Linked DNA regions of Rhinolophus ferrumequinum. The protein of the gene in region 3 interacts with the protein of the main gene of each other region in a pairwise test. Links are inferred from orthologs where the notes say so. Each region holds a gene or a part of one and is shown on either strand. Other genes may lie near its edges. The genes, in order: WBP11, RBM15 and DDX17.

Region 1 (7,681 bases), about 20 Mb from region 3:
AAAAAAAAAAAAAGTTTAATGGAAAATTCCTAGAAGAAAAAAGAGAAATCAAAGTCCAAATTTGTGGTTATCAAATTGCAGTTTGCAACCTAATGATGAATTTGGGAAATATTTAATAGACCCTCAACAAATAGAATTACTTTTCTAAGTACTGTCTTAGGGAAATTTGTGTCTGTTGCGTGGGTGTGCGTGCACTTGTATAGGTGTGTACTAGATCTGAATCAAAGATAAAAATGAATTTCTGACTATGATAAAAGTTTATTCCACCAGGAGTACCAGTGCAGTTTTCTAAATTAAACATCATAAATTATCATGTTCCCAATCCATTTTTTAAAAATGGTCCCCTCTCTATTCCCAAATTACATCTTTATGACTTGGAGGATAGATTAATTTCATGTTTACTTTCTTGAGAGAAAAACACCTTCACTCCTTTATTCCATGTTTCTCAGGTTCCCCATATCTAGGTTAAGAACATGATCCTAAGATAGGGCCCAAGTTAATCAAGATATCGCTTACTCATAGAGAGAATGTGCCAGATCCCACACAGATATAGAGAACTCCATTTTCTCTCAAGGGTTTAAAGGAAAAATAAAAGTGCCAGGCACATAGTAAGCCTACTCAATGTAACCATATTGAGTAATATTGTTCTTACTAGGCTCAAACTTTTACCCAAATAAACTCAGAAGAACATGCTTATTCCTTTTTCCTCTGCATGATACTCTGAGCCAGAAGTGTAAACTCAAAAGGCTTCTACCAGGCTTATTTTATTCATTCTATGGTACTCTTGCTAATTATTCCTTAATATTTCTGTGAAATGACATTATCTTCTTTCCAAGGCTAATTCTAAATTATCTTAATAATGGCCAAGTGCAATACAGACCATTTTAAATAATTTCATTTATAAACTTTGCAAATAGAGAATCAGAGGCAGTCATGATTGCACTGTCCCTTGCACCATGCCCACTTTCTCAAGTGAGATTTTAATCCACGGCCTCTTGACTGTATACTCTCATCACAAGGATTTTTTGTAAAGATTCTATTGTTATATTCGCCTTTCAATGTCCCTTAGGTTTAGAGAACAAGTAATTTGCCCGTAAAGATATAGTGATTTAAATATTGTAAATTAAGTGACAAATTAATAAATATTGTAAATTAATACAAACAAAATTACATATAAATAGCCCTGTAAACTCAGAGATCTTAATATTCTTCTGGCCCTACTAATTTAACTCCAAATATCAGAGAAATAAATCTGGAAGTTCTTTGCAGTGTGGTGACCAGAAGTTGGAGAAATAAAGGAGCACTGGCTATCAAGAGCTCACCATTTCAAACTGTGTTCTGTTTCAAATGTTATTAGACATTACTTGGAAATAATCACATTTACTTATTAATAATCAGATGCTTGATAAACACAAGTATTTCCTATCTACGACTTCCCCCACCACAAAATGTAATAATGCCTTAATTAACGCATCAATAGGCTATATTCCGTTGCCCACATTTCCACACACTGACTCCAAGTTTCATGAAAATAATTGTTTTCAAGAACCCATTGAGTTTTCTGAGGAATTCCTTACATAGCACATTGCTACTTTGCTATTCATGAAGTAAAAGATTTCCTGGTCAAATCTAAGCAGACAGGAGATATTTTTCAAGATTTTTAGTGAAAATTTACCATTTTATTTTTCAGAGATCATATCTGAAATATGGCTCACAGTGACTTGCTCTACCCAGACAACCCAAGGAGGCGGGAAGAAGTAAACCGTCTTCACCAACAGCTCCTTGACTGCTTGTCTGACAGCTTCTATGCCACCAATAAGTTGATTGGGGTTTTAAATACACATTTGGGGTGCAGGCTGGTCTCCATTGAGATGAAAAGAGATGGCACCATCAAAGAAAACTGTGATATCATCATCCAAGCTGTGATGAAAATCCAAAAGGAATTGCAAAAGGTTGATGCAGCACTAAAAGATAAACTAGAGCCAACACTTTATAGAAAACTTCAGGATATTAAGGAAAGGGAAACAGAGAAAATTGCAATTGTACAAAAGGTTATTTCAGTCATCCTGGGAGAAGCTACTTCTGCAGCCAGTGCAGTGGCTGTTAAACTCGTGGGCTCAAATGTCACAAGTGGCATAATTAACAAGTTGGTCACTGTGTTAGCTCAAATTAGTGCTTCCCTCCTTGGTAGTATAGGAGTTGCTCTTCTTGGCCTTGGCATAGATATGATCTTCCGTGCCATCCTGGGAGCAGTGGAGAAAACGCAACTTGAAGCAGCCATCAAAAGTTATGAAAAGCATCTGGTGGAATTCAAGTCAGCCTCAGAAAAATATCATCATGCCATTACTGAGGTCACCAACACAGTGGAACACCAAATGAAATAAATAGCCACTTTATTTGCCACTGGAATATTTTCTGCTTCTCTCTCAATAATAGTGCTTTGTTTCTTTGATTAGGTTAATTTTCCATATTCTTCCAACAGAGACATAAGTACAGTAAACAAACTGGAAAGAGGAATTACAGATGCTAAAACTAGATGACTCTAGAGTTTTGCATCAACAATGAATGCCTGGATCAGTTGGTGCTAGATCCTGTGAAATAGAAGATTATATCCGAGGATTCTTCTCACTCTGCTCTCTATCAGGTCAACATTAGCGTAAATGATATTATAGAGCAGCAGGTGTAGGGGTTACCTTTTCCTTTTCTAATTCCCTGTCAAAATCCTTAAAATTTACATTGAATGCAGAAATTTTCATTTCTACTTCAGACATCATTTAGTTCTATGGGGACATAGTAACTTCTGCCTGAACACAAACCACAGGCCTTCTAAAGGAATAGAAATACTACCATAAGTTTGACCATCAGTTTAAATTCAACTTTCTGTAAACTGGAAGAGACTAAAATATGGCTTGTAACAATCTACTTCAACGATGAAAGGAGGCAATGGTTCTGGAAACTTCTAATTCTATAATTTGGATGGATTTTTAAAAGACAAAATTTAAAACTAAAAGATAAAGGTTTTGTTTCTATAATTGCAAGCAACCTGACCAACTGTGGTGTGATGATTAAATATCCCTCAAGTGAATGTTTGAACACTCTGGAACATTTAAAAAACAAACAAAGCAAATCCCAGCACAAAATGCATCTAGGATACAGGAGAGGAAGTAGCAACTTTTAAGAATTTTAGAGGAAAGTCATAATTTATTACCTTATGAGTTTTCAGAAAAAAGAAATTTCATTTTCAATACTGGCAGAATGGAGGAAGTTGTCATTGTATATACAGCTTTAGGTGGCCCATTTCATTAATTACCTACTTTCAGAAAAATCTAGAGGCTCTGGAGGCCTAATGGTTCAGTTGAATTTCTGCAGATGCACGAGTTTGTTTCCTAAATCCTGCACCAACTTTTAACTCCCATTGAGGCTCTCAGATTCTACTTGTAAAATTATTAATAAGCTGTTGATGCAAGAATGTGTTATAGTTGATTCTTGAAATTTGAAAATTTCAGCATATCTTAAAAATTAAAATCTAGATGAAATACTTGAATTTTTCAAATGTAATAATTTTCTTTCATTATTTTTTCATCATTATTTTTTAAAATTCGTTGTAAAACATCACAATTTAGTTCACCTGCAAAATTAAACTTTTTTATTACCTGATTTATAAGCTTTAAACTACAAGATCTTTTTATTGTTCTTTCTGGGACTCAAAATTCAGTCTAAAATCAAATCAAGAATTTCCTAAGACAAAGGTTAGTTTAGGTAAGGGACAAATGTACAGTTAAATGCACATTTAAATATTCTGCTAAAAGTTACTATGTATCTCCATCAGTATTTTGTACTATTTATAATTGATATTAAGAATTGACCCATATCTAACATATTTTCCTACAAGGGATATGATTAAGATCAAAAATAAACAAGCGTGTCCTTTAAGAATAGAATTTTAAAATATAAAAAATTTCCTTCAAGGTGAAAAGACAGGGGAGGTGTCATAGAGAAAAAGCGGATAGAAAAGGAAAAGGAAAGGACGAAGAATGGAGCCAAGGGAATAATCCCGTGTATACAGTGACATCATAGAGGATTTTTGGCTGGTGAAAAGACCAGAGCCGATACAATATAAGTTCGCCCGTAGTAAATGTAAAACTGACAGCACATGTATCCCCACATTTCCTTTTCAAAGTACTAATCCTGTAGATTAGCAATCTGGCTCTGTAATATGGGCACGGATTTGCTCAGGTCTACAAATGTTCTGTGTGACTATAAACTACCGAACTTTCTGATCGTCATGACTCTAGCACAGCGCAAACACCGTAGCAATTATTTGGGAATTCGTTTTCAAACAGACACTCCCAAAAGATCGCACTAGCCTACGTCACAAAAAAAAAAAAAAGAAAGAAAGTCTTAGAACTAACACAACTCCAGGAGGCCGAAAGAGCGCCTCGCCGGTCTTGAGCAGCGCAATAAACGAAACTCCCGGAAATTAGGTCAGAACGCCTCCTTTTCCAAGAGCCGATCTTATATCCGAGCGGCTTCTTTTTCTTATTTCCATTGGTCTACGGAAGTGTCAATCAAGGTGCTGCGTCATGAGGGCGGGCTCTTAGTCGATAACCAACCAATTCGGTACTGTATTGGAGCGGAAGACTCTGGTCCCGGAGTTCTTGGTTACTTCCTATGCTTCCAGGGCGGAGAAACCGTGAGTTCGTCGGGCTACAGGGATAGGAAGTGACGTAGCAATGGCGGAGGGGCGCGAGGTTTCAAGATGGCGGTTGCTGGATAGCTGACCGGGAGGCAGAGGTGAAGGCCCCTACCAAGTCAAAGAGGCCGAAAATCGTCCTCTCCCCGCTCCTTGTAGTCCTAGAGCCCAGCAGAAGTGTGAGTGTGCGGGATTGTGCCAATCGGATTCTTCATCTTTCCCGTTCCTTCGTGGGGCACGCGCGGTTGCCTCGGGGACACAAGGCCTCTCTGCCCCGTGTTTCCTCTCCGCGGTTGGGTCTCCCGGGTAGCCGACTGGAGGATCCCCGAGCCTGGGGCGGAGCGGCGACCAGCGCGGTTAAGCGGCTGACTCCCCCAAGTCGGTTAGCGCCGCCTCCTGTCTGTGCACGTTGACTGGTCGCAGATAGCCTTAGATTTGATGTTTGTGCTTCGAGTCAGGTTCAACCGTCGCTATGGTTTCGGCAGTTGCAGCTACTGTTGGCCTTTGGTGGATCTGGGCCCCGGCCCATTGGAGCTTCTTGGCTCGGTTGTCTAGAGGTCCCCCCACGGTTTTGTGGCCCGATTTCCCCGTCGCTTCTGTTTCAAGACATAATAGTAGTTTGCGCAGACTAAGGCCCCAGTTTCCTCTGTAAAAATTTTCTGTAATTCGTATTCTGTTTCAGGTTGGGGAAGGTGGGTTAAAAGAGCCTGAGGGTAATTGAGAGAGGAAAGCAAAAAAGATGCGGGCCATCAAAGATAGGAGAGCTTGTATTTGTACTAATTTTGCTTGCTTCTGCCTCTCTTCTCCCTCACTCCCAGGTTTTATAAGAAGGAAATCCTTGACAGGGTAAAGTAGTTGCCATTGGAACAACTTGGAAGCATTTCGCAAAAGTCAAGGCAATTGAACACTTGCTGAAAGAGACATTAACTAATAACAAACTTGTCTGATGAGATCTTCATAAAGAAGGAAAGGTATAATTGTATGGTCTACTAAAAAGTTTACCTCGGGCCTATAACTTCCCTAGTAAAAGGTTTATCTTTGCGTTAAGCCAGTCCTGTCCATTGCTTCTGTGCATCTAGGTTAACATACTTTTGAAATTGCTCTTTTTTGCCAGACCTCTCAGAGGCTTAATGACTCTCAAGGGAGCACATAATCTTGTTAACTGTCCTGTAATCCAGGCATAGAAATTTCCCTGCCTTGCTTTTTCCCACCTTAAAGCAATCTTCCTTAGGGTCCATCCTTCATTTTGAAGTATAAACAGGACTGCAAAACTCATTCTCCAGAGCATTTTTGAGGTCTTGATGCGAGGCAGGTTGTCAGTTTGGCTCGGATAAGCTCTAATAAATTCATACAAATTTTCTACAGGCTTGGACGTTCTTACTTTGATGCAGCTTTTGGTGTTTTTTTAATGAACAAGTGAACCACACAGATTGTCAACATGGGACGGAGATCTACATCATCCACCAAGAGTGGGAAATTTATGAATCCCACAGACCAAGCCCGTAAGTATCCATGAGTGTGGAATGATGAAGAAGAGCTGTGGTAAAAATTGCAAGCATTAGGAAATCTATTTCATGATGTCCTAATTTCAAGATTAGCAGTGCTAGGAATTGGTTGTATAAAGTTATACAGTGTTCTTGTGGGCACGTGATTAAAACTTGAATAAAACATGCAAAAAAAATTGTGTGCATATTTTTAATTTGATTGACTTGGAATTGGCTTAAAACTTCTTTTTGTATTTGGAATTTTGAATAAATTAGTTCTGCAAGTTCTTTAGTATTTTATGACATCTTTTTTCATCAGGTTCCTAGTTCTTCCTTAAGCTTAAAATTTCTCGAGACATTTTTGGTTGACAAAATTAGAAGGGTGCTACTAGCATCTCGTAGGTAGAGGCCAGCGGTGCTTCTGAAGGTCCTACTGTGCAGGACAGCCTCTCACAATAAGAATTGTGTTAAATTGAGGAAATGTTATAATAAGGTTCAAGGTTTGAAAGTTTTTTTTCTCTTTGTCTAGGAAAAGAAGCCCGGAAGAGAGAGTTAAAGAAGGTATGATTTCAGATGCATCAAATTAGCTATTAAGTGTTGTTTGGCACATTTTATCATTTGGGATTAGTGGATTTCCAAGTAACATTTTCAGTTACTTGCCAGAACCATAAAATGTACTAAACCAAAGTACCATATAGCTGCTCCTTGTTACAATGGGGTTATGTCCCAAAAAACCCATTGTAAGCTGAATATATCTTAAGTTGAAAATGCGTTTAATACACCTAGCCTACCAAACATCATAGTTTAGCCTGGTATACCCTAAATGTGCTCAGAACACTGACCTTAGCCTCCAGTTAGGCAAAATCATCTCTCTGCCACTGCCCAGCATCATGAGAGAATATCATACTACATGGCTAGCCGAGGAAAAGATCAAATTTTGAAGTACAATTTCTACTGAATCCAAGTGCCTTTGGCGCCATGGTAAAGTAAAAAAAAAAATCGTAAGTCGAATATTGGAAAGTCTGGGACTTTTTGTACTTGGGAACAAAACTAAATAACCTTGCTGATAAGCTCATGATGGGTTATTGTAACATTGTTTATTTGAGTATCTTTCCCAGTGAGTTAAATAATACACTTTTGAAAATAATTCTTTTTTTGTTAGTTATTAAAACATACTGCTTTGTTAAAAGCTACTGAATTAGTGGCTGTAAATAAATGTGATGCTAACTAGCTTTGTACATTCGTTTTCCTGGTTATGTAGCTGTTGAGTTGATGACAAAGTGCTTTCCCAGAATAAGAAAGGATTTACTTTTCAGTATCACATTAAGAAAACTCAGATTTTTAATTGTTTTCAATTGTGTGTTTTGTTACATTGTTTAGCAATAATTCCTGTAAAACTTGAATGTATACCTTTAGAATATAACTGAAACCTGTTTAAAAAAAAACTGCAAATTTTTTTTTTTTTTTAGTAACTGCTTTAGATCTCATAGATACTTGTCTCAGA
Region 2 (7,585 bases), on a different chromosome or scaffold from region 3:
GAATCCAGGAACTGCTGGGAGAACTCACACGGTGGGAAGGCATGAAGGACCCCGGTGTTTTCCTTGTCTTTGTTGCCCCCCACAGGGAGGCTGATCACCCCAGCAGCCTGCTTTTGCTTTAAATAGGACACCAGGTTCCTAAGTGGCCTCTGAGTAGAGGTGGCAGTGTCTGATGTGGCTGAGGAAGAGGAGAATCTGCTGTCAGAACTTCCAGGCACAGCCAGAAGAATGGCATAACCATTGGGCCCTGCCACTTTGATGCGTCGAGTTACTTCATCCAACTTGGGCTGGTCTAAACGAAGACGCTGAGTGATCTTGAGCTGGGCCACTTTGCCTCCAGTCGAGCCCTCCACGAGAAGACTGCTAGCCACTTGAAGGTCACCCTGCAACAGATGCATGTTGGAAGGAAAGTTGCTGTTCTTCAATAGAAGCATCCCCTGCCAGGCCAAACAGAGCTTGGGAGAGGCTGATGCTGCAGGAGCTGTGCCACCATCCTGTTTCTGGGAAGGGGACTTCAGCTTCGATGAAGCAGTGCTGGTGCTGGCTGCACTCCCATCAGACCGCTCTTCTTTTTTCAGAGGGCTTTTTCCCTCAGTGGCAACAGCTGTCCTGTGCTTCCTATCGCGTTCAGCTGATGCCGAGTTTTTGCGGTCTCGCTTGTCACCCTGGCTCTTCTCCAAACTACCTCGTCTGTCTCTGATTGGAGAGGGCCTTTCCAAGAGAAGACGGGAAGATCGATCATTGTCACTGTTGTAGCGATCCCGACTACTGCTCAAGTCTGGACTACGGTCAGGAGAAGGAGCGCAGTGACGTTTTCGTGGCCGGTCACTCTCCGGGGACCTATCCAGATGCCGTCCCCCACTCTCGTCAGGCAGCCGTCGCTTCCTAGGCTGGTCTCTGCTGCTGGGCAGATCTCGCTCACCTCTGTCCCGGTCCAAGGACCAGCCATCCCGCCTGCGATCCAGGCTGTCCAGTGCCTCATAAGCAGGCACAGCACTAGCTGCAGTCCGAGTGCTGCGTTCCCGGACTGGGGGCGGTGGTGGCACCCAATCAGAGTCAGTATAAAGGTCCCTATCACGATCTCTGTATAGTAAGGGTGGTGTCCGATCCCGAGCACCCCTCAAAGGGTCAGGTGCCCGATGTCCAAAAGCATCTGTCACCAGTTCATAATGAGTTAAGGGAAGAGGCTGCAGATACTGCTGCTGGTAACGATGTTCTGTGTCTGCAAAGTCTACTCTAAGGCGACGATCTGGGCCACCAAGTGGAAAGCCCCGCATATGGGTCCAGGCAGCATGAGCTGCATCCAGGCTTTCATACTGGATATACGCCCAACTATCACCTTTGCGGTAGTCTATGGTGCGTATGGTGCCAAATCGGTCAAACTCCCGTGCCAGAGCAGCAAGAGGCACCCAGGGTCCCAGGCCACCTACCCAGAGACGGGTGGTGGGTGTAGCTTTACCATAACCAATTTTGATAGGATTCCGAATTATAATTTTGCCAGACATCGCTAGTTTGGCCCGGTGAGACATGTCTAGGTTCTCAAATTTGAGAAAGCCATAGGTACTGGTCTGGCCCCGAGAAGGCCTCTTGATGTCTACTTCTGTAATGACTCCAAAGCGATCAAAAGCCCTTCTTAGATCACTTTCTGTCACAGTGATGTCTAGGTTGCCCAAGAAAAGCGTCCGGTTAGCTCGCTGATCGTCCTCTGGTGAGATCTCATCCACTTCTCTGAAAGGAGCAGCACCTGCTCCAGCTCCCACCCTTGGCTCAAGACTGTATGCTGGGCGCACTCTCTCATAGAACGAGTAGTCTCGCTCTCTCTCCAGGTCCCGGGGTAATGGTGGCGGAGGTGGAGGGGGCAGGCGGCCAAGGGCCAACTGCTGCAACCGGTAGTCTCTGTATCCTAAGGCTGCACCACCAGGGGAAAGCGATCTCTGGCCTCCACCACCCCCTCCAGGGGGGTGCCGGTGACCACCTACAGAGGACCCGACCACGCTGGATGACGGAGGATAAGGATCTTTGTCTAAAGGGGAGCGGCTGCGGCGCCGGCTCACATACACAGCTTCTATCTTCAGGGGCCGGTCATAGAGCACAAGGCGGCCTCTGGCATGCTTGGCCGCCCGCGCGTCCTCTGGCCGCCGGAAGTTCACAAACGCTACGCGCTCATCCCCGCTGCCACCCGAGAGATGACTGATTTTGACACTTACATCACCGAAGCGTTTAAACTCGTGAAACAGTCCGTCCTCCACCGCTTCGTCACTCAGCTGGGACCCCAACTCGCTTATCTTCAGTGTCTTGTACTCCCCGCCGTCCCCGCCGCCAGGAGCTGAGGAGGCGGCCCCAGAGGAACGTGACTCCCCGCCTCCACCCCGGGAGCTGCTGCGCGACTCGCCCCCGCCCGAGGAATTTTTAGTGCCTGGGGAACTGTAACTATGTAAGCGGCTACTGGAGCTGCCCCCACCAGTATCATACTCGCGGCTGCCACCTCGGCTGCTTGACTTGTCCAGATGAAGGCTGCGCCGCGACCCGCCGCCGCTGTCGGTCTTTCCGCTGCTGCTCCCATTGCTGCCACCAGAGCCCCCTAACTTCTTGCTCCGCTCCCCGCGGGAAGTCGAATCCTCACCACCACGAGAGCGTTTGGGTTTGACTGGGGAGCGCTCTTTTCCCTTCATTGTTGCGGGTCGTCGGAGGTCTTCTCCGCGGAGCTGACTAACCCGCCGCTCCGCGCTCGTTTCACACAGCGGAACCGCATGCCGCCATCTTGGACTCCGCCGCTGCAAAGGATCCCGCCCCGCACTCCTCATTGGTCAAGCAGCTCCTTTCTTCTACAGTTTCATTGGGAAAATTACTTGTCTGTCTTTACATCTCCCCGCGCTCCGGGGAGGAGCCCGCCCAACCATTGTTATTGGGTTCCCAACACCTTAGTCGGAGTACCTCATTGGTTATATTCGTTGTCCATCTTAACGGTTCCTCGCGCCAGGCTCTAGCTCCGCCCCTCGCACTCTATCGTCACCTGACCCAAAGTCTGGAGGCGTTGATTGGACAAAAAGTGTGCTCTGTAACGGTACTTCTTGCGCGATGAAAGCAGTGGTTCCACCTCCTCATCTCTTTCATTGGTTTAGACCCCGTCCTTCAACCCACTATTTGGGAAGTCGGGCCATCCGTTCTGGAGTCTTTTTCTGAGAGGCCGCCTCACAGCGATCTCGCGAGAAACAGCGCTCCTTCTTTCGACCCTTTCTTCCAACTCCTCTGGCGGCCGAAAGAAGTTTGAATCTGATTGGATGACAGTGGTAAAATCGATAGGCTGAAATAACTGTCCATCAGTCGCTTACGGGGGTAGACCCACGTTCTGATGGAGTGGACTGAAGGTGAAAGAGTAGAACTCGCGCTTGCTGTGCGACGTCATTAGACGTCGCGAGATGGTGACCAGGGGACAGCTCCGCCTCCCCGCGCTTTCGGCGTTCTTCCTTCAAATATTTGTTCGGTCCCGTGGGGTACTTGGTTTGGTTGCGCCTTCGTCTCCCCACTTTCTACCCACAAATCCCTCTGGAAGCCGTTCCGGAGCGCCCAGCGGGCAGCCTCTTACTCCCTCCGGCATCTTCGTCAACAGCCTAAAAAAGCCCTACTCACTGCTCGAGTGAGCGCTGCCCGCGCGGTCCCTAGAGCCCGCGGGGCAGGCTAGGCCGGGAGTTCACATAGTTCGGGACCACACTAACGCCCCCGGGGCGGTGCAGAGGTCGGGCGCGGGCTCTTGGGGTCACGCAGCTAGGAAGCAGCGCAATCGAGACACAGCCTCCTTGGCGCTTCCCGTTCCTGCCCAAGTACCCCGAGCAACCGAAGGGAGTGACCGACGCTCCCAGCTTCGCTGCCCGCATCGGTGGCCCGGATTGTCAGGCACCGCGGACGTGTCTGTGGGCTTCCTGTTTTATGTTGCGAATTCACATGGATTTTGGATTTTGTAGTCCTGTAAAAAGAGTATGTTTGTTTTTTATATGTAATGCCTCTCTCCGTTAAATAATCGAGTGAAGTCTACGCTCCCTGCAGACGTGTCGCATTTTTCCTGTTGCTTCTTGTATCTCCCTGCAGTTCCCCTGTCACCCCGTTATTCTATATTAGAACTCAGTGGCACAACTACGTTGCTGTCTATGGATCCACCTCTTTGGGCTTCCTCAATCATCTGCTTCAAAATCCAACTTTCATTCTTTCCAGAGACCTTTATTGTGTCAGATAATAAAGCACCTATGCGAGGTGCTGGTGATACCGAGATTAGAACAGGTACAACCTTTGTCCTGCTGCTCACTGTAGTGCTGAGTTCATCACAGCGATTGGGCTTGCTGCAGTCCTCCCAGGTATGCTCCGGGCAGAAGTTATGAGGATACTTGTACTGATTCTCTCTCGTCCACCACATCTCTCAAGGTTCAATATGGAGTAGAGAATGTGAGATGTTTTAAAACATGACATTTTTAAGGTAGCACTAATGTCCATCAAACTGAAACCTGAACTTGAAAACTTTTAGGGACTGCAACCTGTTTAGCCTTCCCTCAGCCATTCTTCTCTTTCTAAATAATCTTGAGGAAGGTGATGATGTGCGCCTTTTCTCTCTTGATTAGATCAAAGAAGTTTGAAAGAAGCCCAATATGTCAAAGCATAAAAATCCACAGTATTGTGGTATGTAGACAGACTCATTGTATTAAAACTAGCTGTTAAAACTTCATAAATCGTGAAACCGTGTGTATAATATACTATCATTTGTGGTTTTAAAAATGATATATATGTATGTGTATATATATTTTGTAAATGTAGAAACTTCATTGAGAATACTTGGGAAATTGTTACAAAGTTCATGGTGGGAGGGGGTCTGAAGGTTTCAGTAGGAGAGAAACTTAACTTTTCATTGTATACCTTTATGTATTATTAAAACTTGTTTTACCATGTGCATACTGTTACTGTTTCATATTTTTAAATATATATATATTATTTTTAGCTTTCCTTAGAACTATTTTCATGGAAAAAGTAGAATACTATAAAGAACTTCGATGTACCCAACACCCAATTTCAACAACTATCAACCCATGTCAATTCTGTTTCATCTTGACTCTTCCCACTCTAACCCCCTTCATTATTTTGTTGCAGGCTTAGCTGGTACATTATCTGCCCCAGACATACAATCAGTCATTTCTCCAAAGAGTTTTGGTTTCTTTTAGTGGGAAATAATATTTTAAGACAAAAATCTGGATGCTAGGGGATAAAAAAACAACAACAACCAACACATTGTGTGTAAAAGCACAACACAAAAATCTTCACATAGGGTGTTTTAATCTATTGCAAAGTTATATTAATACAACACAAAATTGGAGGTAAGTCATTATCTGATTACTTAAAGTAATAGCCAATGCAAATAAACCAGGCTCCAGACTGATTTTTTTGACCTAAATTGTCCTGCTTAAGTGATTCACTGATCAACAAAAGAGATAATGACCAAATCAGTATAGTTTCCCAAACCTCATAATAGTGAGTGAGGGAACACGAGAGAATTCAGGGAGCTGGTACCAGTATGTGTAGCAGTGCCTGAGTCTCTGCTTGGTGTGGTGGCTTGCCATATGTGATACTAGCGAGCTTGGTGGAGCTACTGCCCATAGCTGGCTTCAGCACGAAGGCTTGCCTAAGGGGACTGATACCCAGTCTGCTGTCTAGAGGACTGGTAGTTCAGTGGGTAGATAGTAAAGGCCTAAATTTCATTCTCAGTAACAGAGCCAAAATATAGCCCGTGATGTGTGTGTCCATGTGTCCATGAATAATGGACTGAATAATGACAATATGTTGATTCATATTGTAGTCAAAATAAGATTTTTTCGTTTCCTTTCTGTTCTTTAAAGTATGAAGCTGCTTAGTGAGGTTGAATCAGCCTGTTTTCACTCGTGAGCTTAGGGAGACCTGAGAGGATAAAAGTGACTCATGGTTTAAAGGGCCAAGACTCAACACTTTTTCTGGTGTGGGTGATGGAGTCGTTGATGTCCAGTCCAAGCTTTCATCTGATCTCCTGATGATCTATGGCCAGATTTGTGAGAACCGCTGACCTGGGCAAGGAGGATCTTTCAGCTGTCATGAAAATGGAGTTAAACTGCCAACAAATTCCCTGAGCATCATAGCATGTTTTATCTCTCCTTTCAGTGTCTTGTCAAAAGCCAAGTGTGTTGAAAAGCTGCCTTCGCCCATTCTGGTGTTGGTATGGGCCCCTTAGAGTTGTACAACTTGAAGGTCCTAGAGGACTCGGCTCAGGGGGAGAGCAGCCATAGCTTTCCATATGAAGTGCTTTCTCTTATTTCCTTGAAAATCACTTTTAGATTTAAAAGGAAAAAGGAAACTGTTATGCACATGGAAGAAATCTGCAATTAAAAGACATCAGTGTGTTTTCAATCAAATGTCTTCTTTCCACCCCCTTCCTTCCTACATTTTATTGTTGTTATAAACTCAGTACACACACAGACAATTGCAATAAGAAATGTGTCTTGGGAGCCCAGAGTTATTTGATTTCCTGGCAGATGCAAAAAGGCCTGTAGCTGGGAATGGAAAAATTGTTCCCACTCACAAGAGTGGATTAAAATTTTCTATTTCGCCTTCCTTCATAAAATGAGTGGTCTCCTGACAGTGAGGTTTGTTTGTTTGGTCTGCAGAAAAAGTGTATATTTTACACACAAGCATATATTAAATCCCTAAAATAGTTAACAATCAGTTAGGACCCAGTTTGCATTATAAAGTCACTTACGTATTTGTGGTTTGTGGGGTTTTTTAAACAGCTTTATTAAGATACAATTTACATACCATAAAGTTCACCCAGTTAAAGTGTACAATTCAGTGGTTTTTTAATATGTATATCCAGACCTGTATATGTGTTTCATCCTTTAATATTATTACAGAAAGCACTCTGCTATAACTTCTCCTAGGTGACTAAGCCGTAATATAATTGCCTCTTTATTTAGACATCTTAAGGGGCAGTGGTTAAGAGCATGGGCTATGGAACCAGCCAGCCTAGATTAAATCCCAGCTCTGCTTTGGGCCTCAGAATAGTTACTGTTAATTTTCTCTGGGCCTTGATTTTCTTGTCTATAAAATGGGACTAATCATAGAATCTCTTCACTGGGAGGATTAAATGGGATAAAACATGTAAGGAGCTTAGAACAGTGCCTGGTACATGGCAAGCATTACTAATATAGTTTCTCTTTGCACTTGAGTACATGGAATTGGATTAATCATAATCTTTAATTCATGACATACAATCATCAATGGTTCATCCATGGACCGTTAAACTTTTCATTTATCAAGAACATAGTGAATACTCAGGAACCTACCACTCAATCCAAGAAATAGGAAGTTACAGATGATTTACATCTACCTTAATTCTCCCTTATACACTGCCTACCCCCATAGGTAGCTACTCTCCTGAATCCGGTATTTAGCAATCCCTTGTTTTGGTTTAAGAACGTCAAAGAACATTTTGAAGGAATTTTAAAGAATTCTCTGTGTGCGTGCGTGTGTGTGCGCGCGCACGCGTGCACGCATTAAATACAACAAGGGTCTCAAAGTC
Region 3 (8,093 bases):
AAGCAAAGCAACATAAATATATTACAAATCTTAATAGCTATTAAACATAAAAAGTAAAATTTTTATTGGAAATGTATCTTTTAATAAGATAGAAGGAGACTAAGGAAAAAATAGATCATGTGTCTATGAACACTTATTTTTGGCTATTCTTTTTTTTTTCTCTCCCTTTCATAGCCGTCAGTGCTGAGAAATTTTGATCACATCATTTAATAGGTGAGAATGGAAAAAGTCTTGTTATAGTAATGTCACTCCATTCCTGTTGCTCTTCTTCCAATATGCCAAAAAGCCAGTAATTATCTCAAGTTATTTTTAATGTATCTGTCGGTAGAAATTCCACATGGTCCTCCTTCCTGTTTGTTGAAAGCAAAGAGCTGGAATTCTCCTAATTTGCAAATGGACATGTTACCAAGGCATTAGGATCATTTACTTTTTTCAAGTCACCAATGTCAGCATTTCTAACTATCCCCGTATTGGGATCTCTGAGATTTTTACTTCCATGGCAAAGTCCGTAGTAAAATTTTGGGTAGAAGAGAAATATTCTTTCATTTATAAAGTGAGAGGGTGCAATTTTAAGCAAATTTCGCAGTCATCTCAATTTTAGAAAGGAGTATATATGAAAGTTCAAGTTCTGGAAATAGATTTCCTGAAAAGTCTCTGCTCCTATGTGTCCCTTGTGTACCACAGTTAAAGGCCACTGCTTCAAGTTACCTTGTTGACTTAAGTACCTCAGGACTCTCAATCTCTTGTATCTAAAGTACAATAAACCAAGCTATCAAAGAACCAAGCTGAGTCCTACCAAGATAGAAGGCAGAGGCATTATGTTTCACATTAGGTGAGTTTAACGACGATGACATTGCAAAGTTGTGACAATGGGACAAGAGAAGGTATGTGTAGAACTTATTATAGTACACGTGGTTTACAGTAAAAGTAGCTTAAAAACAAAGAACTACAGTTTTAAAACTTTAAACAAATGGAAAAATTCTCTTAGTGGTTGGAAATCGAGTCGAGTATAAATTGTACTGCTATAATAACAATAAAACACAGATAAAACGAAAAATGGCAATGGTATTGTTGGCAGGTGGAGTCTGCAGAAAGGAAACCACATCTGCAGGAAAACTGGACAATGGAAAGAGAATGATATTGACCCTGTGATCCCACAGGGAGGTAGCATAGCATAGTGGTCCCAGAGTAGTGGCTGTCAACTGGGGTGGTTCTCAGTGCCCCCTGGGAGACATTGGGCAATGTCTGGAAACATTTTATTGTCACAACTTGGAGGAGGAGGGAGATTCTACTGGCATCTAGTGGGTGGAGTCCAGGAATGCTGCTAAACATCTGCAATGCATAGGATAACCCCCCACAATAAATATCCGGCCCTAAATAGTGCCAAGTCAAAACCTTGCCAGAGCACCTAGGTTTGAGTCCAGCCTATGCTAATTGCTGTGTGATCCTGGGTTAGCACTTAATCTGAGCCTCACATTGTTTTTTAATAAATTTTATTGGGGAATATTGGGGAACAGTGTGTTTCTCCAGGGCCCATCAGCTCTGAGTCGTTGTCCTTCAACCTAGTTGTGGAGGGCGCAGCTCACTGGCCCATGTGGGAATCAAACCAGCAACCCTGTTGTTCAGAGCTCACGCTCTAAACAACTGAGCCATCCAGCCGCCCCAAGCCTCAGCTTTCTTATCTGTAAAGTGGAGAGATGATAACTAACCACTAACATATGTTGAGTGTTATGTGCCAGGCACCCCTCTGAGTGGGGTTTCATTTGCTCCTTCCAAAATCCCTATGAGGTACTGTTATCTCGTTTACAGATGAGAATAAAATAAAAGCTCATAGCACGTGTCTCTCATAGTGAACATGAGAGCACTCAATAGTTTTCAGTCCTTAGGTATTTCTTTTTAAATATTATTTTTTCAGAGCAGTTTTAGGTTTACAGCAAAATTGGGTGGAAAATACAGAGTTTCCCTGTATTCCCTGCCTCTACATACATATAGCTTCCCCCACTATCAACATCCTGTTTCAGTCAATGAAACTACATTGACACATAATCACCCCAAGTCCATAGTTTACATTAGGGTTCACTCTTGGTGGTGTACATTCTATGGGTTTGGACAAATGTGTAATGACATGTACCTACCATTATGGTACCATACAGAATAGTCTCGCTGCCCTTAAAGTCCTCTCTGCTTCACCTGTTCATCCTGTCCTTCGTCCATCCCCTAGCAATCACCGATCTTTATACCATCTCCATAGTTTTGCCTTTTCCAGAATGTCATATACTTGGAATTTTACAACATGTAGCCTTTTCAGATTGGTTTCTTTCACTTAGTCATATGCATTTAAGTTTCCTCCAGGTCTTTTCATGGCTTGATAGCTCATTTCTTTTTCACACTAAAATTTCATTGCCTGAATGTACCACAATTTATCCGTTTACCTACTGAAGGACATCTTGGTTGCTTCCAAGTTTTGGCAATTATAGTAAAACTGCTATAAATATCTTTGTGCAGGTTTTTGTGTGGACATAAATTTTCACATCTTTTGGTAAATACCAAAGAATGTGATTGCTGGATCATATGATATGGTAAGGTATGGTTAGGTTTTCAAAAAAAGGATGAATTGAGCAAAGCACATTTTCATTTTTACCAAGTCTTAGCTGTTACTAATGAAATGTCTCAGTTCTCTGGCTGCCCTATTTAATGAAAATCTCCCTCTATGTTTAGAAAAATGTAATAAGTTTCAACCATCTTTGGTAGGAAAACACAGAGATACAGCAAATAATGAGAAATGCATACTATGGATTCACTTTATATTCAGAAACTTGACTGCCAGAGGAAGACTGTAAGTTCACTTTTTTTTTGGAGGGCAAAAAAATAATGACATAAATATATAGTTATGTACTATGAGAAGCTTTCTGAAGATAAAGGAGTTATGAGATGCTATAAAACAGGGACCTGATCTAGTAGCAATATATGAATTATTTTCCCCTGCAAAATTTAGGGGGGTTTTCGATGGACCTAATTTACTTTATATAAGTTATTTATTATTATATAGAGAGCCTCAGATTTAATTACTTAGCATATAGGATAGACAAACCAGTCCAAATAACTCTCTCAGTGCTATACAGTCTAAATCCCAGTAGGAGCTTAATTGTTGGCCAATTCCTACAAGAGTCATCCTTGACTCTTCTTTCTTTCGTGCTCCACCCATCATTAAATCAGTAGCTTGATTTTCAGTCAGGCCATTTCTCCCTTACTGGTTGCTATTAACCCATGCCAAGCCCCATCATCCCTTGCTGGATTATTGCACTAACCTAATTAATCTGCCTGCTTCTGTCCTAGCTCACTCTCAATTTATTCCCCGTACTGCAGCCATAGGGGTCCATTTATTATGTCACCCTGCTTAAAACCTTCTAGACATATCCAATTTACTGAAAGGAAAAAACGAAGTCCTTACCGCAGCCAACAAGCCCTTTAAGATCTGGCCCTCTCTTTCCTCCTTGCGCTACTCCAGCCACATTCTGCCTCAGGGCCTTTGCACTTGCTCATTTCTGTATGTCAGCAAGGCTAGCTCCCTCCCTTGAGGTCTCTGCTCAGATGTCACTTGATCAGGGAGGCACGGGTATACACTCCCTCCTACAGACACACATACCTCTATCCCTTTTCCCCCCCGCTTCATTTTTTTTCTTTTTATTTTAGTTAGCAACCCTGACATAAACATTTATTGTCTGTCTTCCCCACTAGAGTGTGAACTCCAGGAGTGTAGTAACTCATTTGTTCACTGCTGTGCACCAGTTCCTAGCACAGTGCTTGGGCCTATTAGGCATTCAACACTTGTTCAATTAATCTGATTACTCATCGGCATTTGTGGCCCAAGAGACATCTGAACAGCTTGTCACGAAGATCCTTTCCTTATGCTACTTTTGTAATAATTTGGGAAACACTCAGAGCACAGAGTAGGAGACACCAGTCAGCCCCTACCATAAGGGACCTCAAATCTCCCCCACTTATACCCATATGTAGAAATAAATAAGACATGGTTAAACAGCTGCTCTTCTGAGGCCCTAACAGCTCAGCTCAACGATTCCGTGACGCTGTCAGGCCAAGCTTCTGAGACTTTAAAGTGTAGTTTGAGGGAGAAGGAAGCAGGCAGGGAGAGGGAAGCCAGATTAGAAGGAATTAAGGACACGGCCTAGGCTGGTTACAAACATGACTTATGCCTTCACCTTTTCTGTGTCTGCAGACCACCGCTTTTAAACCGTTCTGTTCCTCTCGGGAGAGCGCTAAGGGGCTGCCATGGGCCTCATGAGGCAGCGCCCGCTTAAGGGCGGTCAAGGGATCTCAGCGTCTACCTTAAGGGCTCCACCCACATTTTGGTTCTTTGTTAGCCAGCTGTGCTCAGCAGGGGACAGTGTAAATATTGTTGAGAACGTGCACTTTAGTGTGACTAAGTGTAGCAGAGTGCTTTAACCCAGGTGAGACGTCGCCACCTGACCAAAACCCGAAAGAAGGGACAAGGAACATCTATCATGGCTGCCGGCGCCGGCACAGCGAGAAGCAACCGAAAAGAAATGGCGCCGGGGCGCGCGGCCAGTCTAGGGGCCCAGGGCGGCGGGGCCAGAGCGCCCGCCAGGGACCTTAAAGACCCTCCTGGGCGTTTGGCACCTGGAGACCCTGAAACTTGACTGCAGAATGAAGGACAGTTATTGTCTGGGCAAAGCAACTTGCACAAGAAGACCGGGTTCCGTCCCGCGGTCGAACCCGGCAAAATCCTCTATTCTCCAAACAGAAGGCGTTACGCACACTGCGCATCTTCGCAACAGTGGGTCAGCTAACGACGCAAAGAATGTTACGTCGCGCCGGAGGCTCACCACCCCCCACCCCCACCCCACGTTCTAGTTTAGGCGACGCGAGAACTACGCCCGATCCGTACTTTGTTTTTCTTCTACCAACCGCAAAATGCGTCCATCTCCGCAACTGACGAAAAATGCTTCCAAGAATACCCGTAGTACTCCGCAAAGCCCTCCGGCGACTCCGACACGCTGTTTACGTATGGGCTCCGACGTACGTAGCGTTAAGCTGGAGCAGTCTCAGCTCCGGCCGCCATTTTGTGCAGTCGCTGGGAAGGAAGGAGACGCCTAAACCGCGGCACTGCCGGGTTTGAGCGTAGCCAAACCTGCCCACTGATTTTATAACCCCGATTCTCTGTGTTTTGCTCCCGTCTCCGACGAGAGAGGCGGCGACGGTGGCGTCTGCGACGGGAGACAGCGCGTCGGAGCGAGAGAGCGCCGCGCCTGCCGCCGCCCCAACAGCGGAGGCGCCGCCGCCATCGGTCGTCACCAGACCGGAGCCGCAGGCCCTCCCGAGCCCGGCCATCCGTGCCCCGCTCCCAGATCTCTATCCATTTGGGACCATGCGCGGAGGCGGCTTTGGGGACCGGGACCGGGATCGTGACCGTGGAGGGTAAGGGAGGAGGGGGAGAGGAGAGGCCTTGTGTGTGCATGGGGGTGGGGGGGCTGCTTCAAGAGGAGACCGCCGCCTGCGGGAGAGCGGGAGACTTGGAGCAGAACGCAGGCCTGCGAACAACGCTCCCGACTCGGGGAGGCGAGGCGACCCGGGACATAATAGCGATTTAGAGCACAGGCCTTTGGGTGGGCCTGGGCCCCGAAGTCACTGATGACCTGGCAGGGGGGTGGTAGCTTGGCGACGCCCCAACTCCTCCTTGCGGACGGCGGTCGTAGCGCCGCACGGCCCCAGCCTCGCGGGGAGCGGGAGCGGGAGGGGGATGGCCCGGCCATCGCAGACCCCATCCGGGCCTCGCCTCGCCTCGCTTGGCGACTCTTGGAGCCTGGCGGATTTGAGCAACTCACTTGATGTCTCCGGGCTTCAGCGTTTATCTGTGAAACACGGGTGTTTTTGTTGAGAAGAGGATGGAGGTCTCTGAGTTCAGTCTAGGAAAAGCTTAACGCGAAATGGCTTCCCTTATGTTATCTATAGCCAGAGATCACTGTTAGTCTCCAGTTTCTGAAACTGGAGACTAATTAAAAGTCTGGGTTTTAGTTTTAAAAACGTTTTCAAATTCCTTCAGTCGTATTTAAATGGAAGGACGCACATTGGAACATAAAGCAATGGAATTACCATCCAAATGGCTGTATTTGGGGAGGGAGGGTTTTGGGGTTTTTTCCAAGTTTCGGTCTTATTTTTATTTTCTCTATAAGCGGACTGGAGCGTTAACTTCTCGGCCTATCTAGAAAGTTTTTGATGCAGTTAGGCCATGGTTAACAGGGTTGGCAATTGACAGCATTAAAACAAGTTCTCCCACATACTGAGATTCAAATCTTAATGTCGGTTAAACTAATAAGTTGCTTATGATACAGATCCATGTCGATTTGTGCTGTTAACTTTTTGTAATAAAAGTTTTATCTCTTGGATGAAAAGTAATGTGACGCCACTTCTTAATGTGTGTGTGACCTTGGGCAAAATCCTAAACTGTTGTGAGTCTATTTTCTCATCTGAAAATGGGGATAATAATTGTCTGTATTTTGTATTGTTCTCGGGAATTTGAGAGAATGCATGTAATTGTCTCTGTACTAGGTGTTGTTAATATTTTCTCCAAACATTTCCAAATATTTTCTTTTGTTCAGGTATACAAGTATCAGATCTACTAGTCACAAGCACCTCAATTATCACTTAATTTACAAAATAAAAAAATTATTTTGATTTATACCTTGGTAGGAAGGAAAATGTTTTATCTTGGTGTTAAGTTTGGAGGACTAGAAGTGGAATGTTTGCTTAGTGTTTCACAGTATAGCCAAATTTAGAAGTGAATTTCAATACAACTGCTTAGGGAAAAGAAATTAAGGTTATCTAGTAAAGTCAAAAATGACCCAGTAATTCTTCTCTGAAACTTTATGCCCTAGACTCTAAGGCCTAGAGAAACTCTTGGACTTGTGCCCCCGCATTCATATACAGAGATGTTTATACCAGCATCGTTCATGACAGTATTGGAAACAACCCAAATGTCTGGATAAATTATGGATATTCATATAGTAGAATGCAGTACAACAGTGAAAAAAAAAAGCTTGCATCAACATGGATGACTCACAATATTGAATGAAAAAGCAAATTGTGGTGGGGTAATGCATATAAGGATACCTACAAATGTGACAAAATTATAAATAAAGCATGGGAATGGTTCAAGTTTGAGGTAGTTATAGTGGGGGTTGTAAACATGAGGTATGTAGAGGCCACTAAGATACTAATAATTTATTTCTTTAGCACAGGCGTTTGACTTAATATTCCATAGAATACATGCTTTAATAATAAAACTTTAAAGAGAGAAATAAGTGAATTTTATTGATTCATACTTAGTTTATCCCATATTGATTTTAGTACCAGATGACACTTTTTAAAAAGTTTTAAAAATTATTAAAATGACACCCTTGCATAAGGTCTGTGCCCTGACTCTACCTTTACTATGAAATTTACTTTGTTTTGAATTGCTATTGTTTTGTCCGTAACTGAATGTTACAGCTGAAATGGATTAATATCTTGAAAAGGCAATAAGTGAGATCAGTGTATGTACCGATAGTCCAAAAATGTACGTTGTTCATTTAAACTGGTTTGATTTTGCATGTTAATACATGAATCTTCAAAGCTGTGTTTATTGCAAAGCCAAATTAAACTTAATACTCAATAAAAATATTTTGATGGATAGCATAATATGCTAGGGATTAGGATTACACACATCTTTAAAGGATGGCACGAATGTGCTCAAAAATTCTAAGAGTAAAAGGCTCTCTTGAATATTGAAGTCAGCATATTTATAAAGAACCCCATGTTTCAAATTACATCTTTAGTGTAGGATAGTATGTCTTGGATAATCAGCCAAAGCAACATAGAGAAAGGAAAAAAATATTTTTTTAATTAAGGGCTACTTTGAATAAGTCTAAAAAGGAACCTTTGAAAAGTTCTGTTTTCTTCTAGATCGTTATTAAGGTCTGGGTAGCATTAGAATGCAGTAGCAGTGTTGAAATGGCACCTTCTAGGAACCACATTAATTGATACAAACTAGACAATCTCTAGAAATTGGTCTTTGG

Evidence for each region.
Region 1: the proteins of DDX17 (region 3) and WBP11 interact in a two-hybrid assay, tested with the Homo sapiens proteins (3 studies listed by BioGRID and IntAct). The link is inferred for Rhinolophus ferrumequinum from reciprocal best matches to the Homo sapiens genes DDX17 and WBP11.
Region 2: the proteins of DDX17 (region 3) and RBM15 interact in binary tests that used the Homo sapiens proteins (3 or more experiments, as listed by UniProt). The link is inferred for Rhinolophus ferrumequinum from reciprocal best matches to the Homo sapiens genes DDX17 and RBM15.

Annotation. Positions count from the first base shown.
Region 1 is NC_046293.1:29,069,253-29,076,933, reverse strand, and holds the start of WBP11 (WW domain-binding protein 11), read left to right. Parts: upstream 1-4,670; 5' UTR 4,671-4,794; exon of another isoform or gene 4,795-4,872; intron 4,873-5,511; 5' UTR 5,512-5,664; intron 5,665-6,058; 5' UTR 6,059-6,131; coding exon 6,132-6,195; intron 6,196-6,706; coding exon 6,707-6,738; intron 6,739-7,681. Other genes in the region: SMCO3 (single-pass membrane and coiled-coil domain-containing protein 3), read left to right, coding at 1,707-2,384. UniProt on the Homo sapiens protein: Activates pre-mRNA splicing. May inhibit PP1 phosphatase activity.
Region 2 is NC_046305.1:42,294,279-42,301,863, reverse strand, and holds the start of RBM15 (RNA-binding protein 15), read right to left. Parts: upstream 3,011-7,585; 5' UTR 2,805-3,010; coding exon 1-2,804. UniProt on the Homo sapiens protein: RNA-binding protein that acts as a key regulator of N6-methyladenosine (m6A) methylation of RNAs, thereby regulating different processes, such as hematopoietic cell homeostasis, alternative splicing of mRNAs and X chromosome inactivation mediated by Xist RNA.
Region 3 is NC_046293.1:8,627,225-8,635,317, forward strand, and holds the start of DDX17 (probable ATP-dependent RNA helicase DDX17), read left to right. Parts: upstream 1-5,093; 5' UTR 5,094-5,407; coding exon 5,408-5,457; intron 5,458-8,093. UniProt on the Homo sapiens protein: As an RNA helicase, unwinds RNA and alters RNA structures through ATP binding and hydrolysis.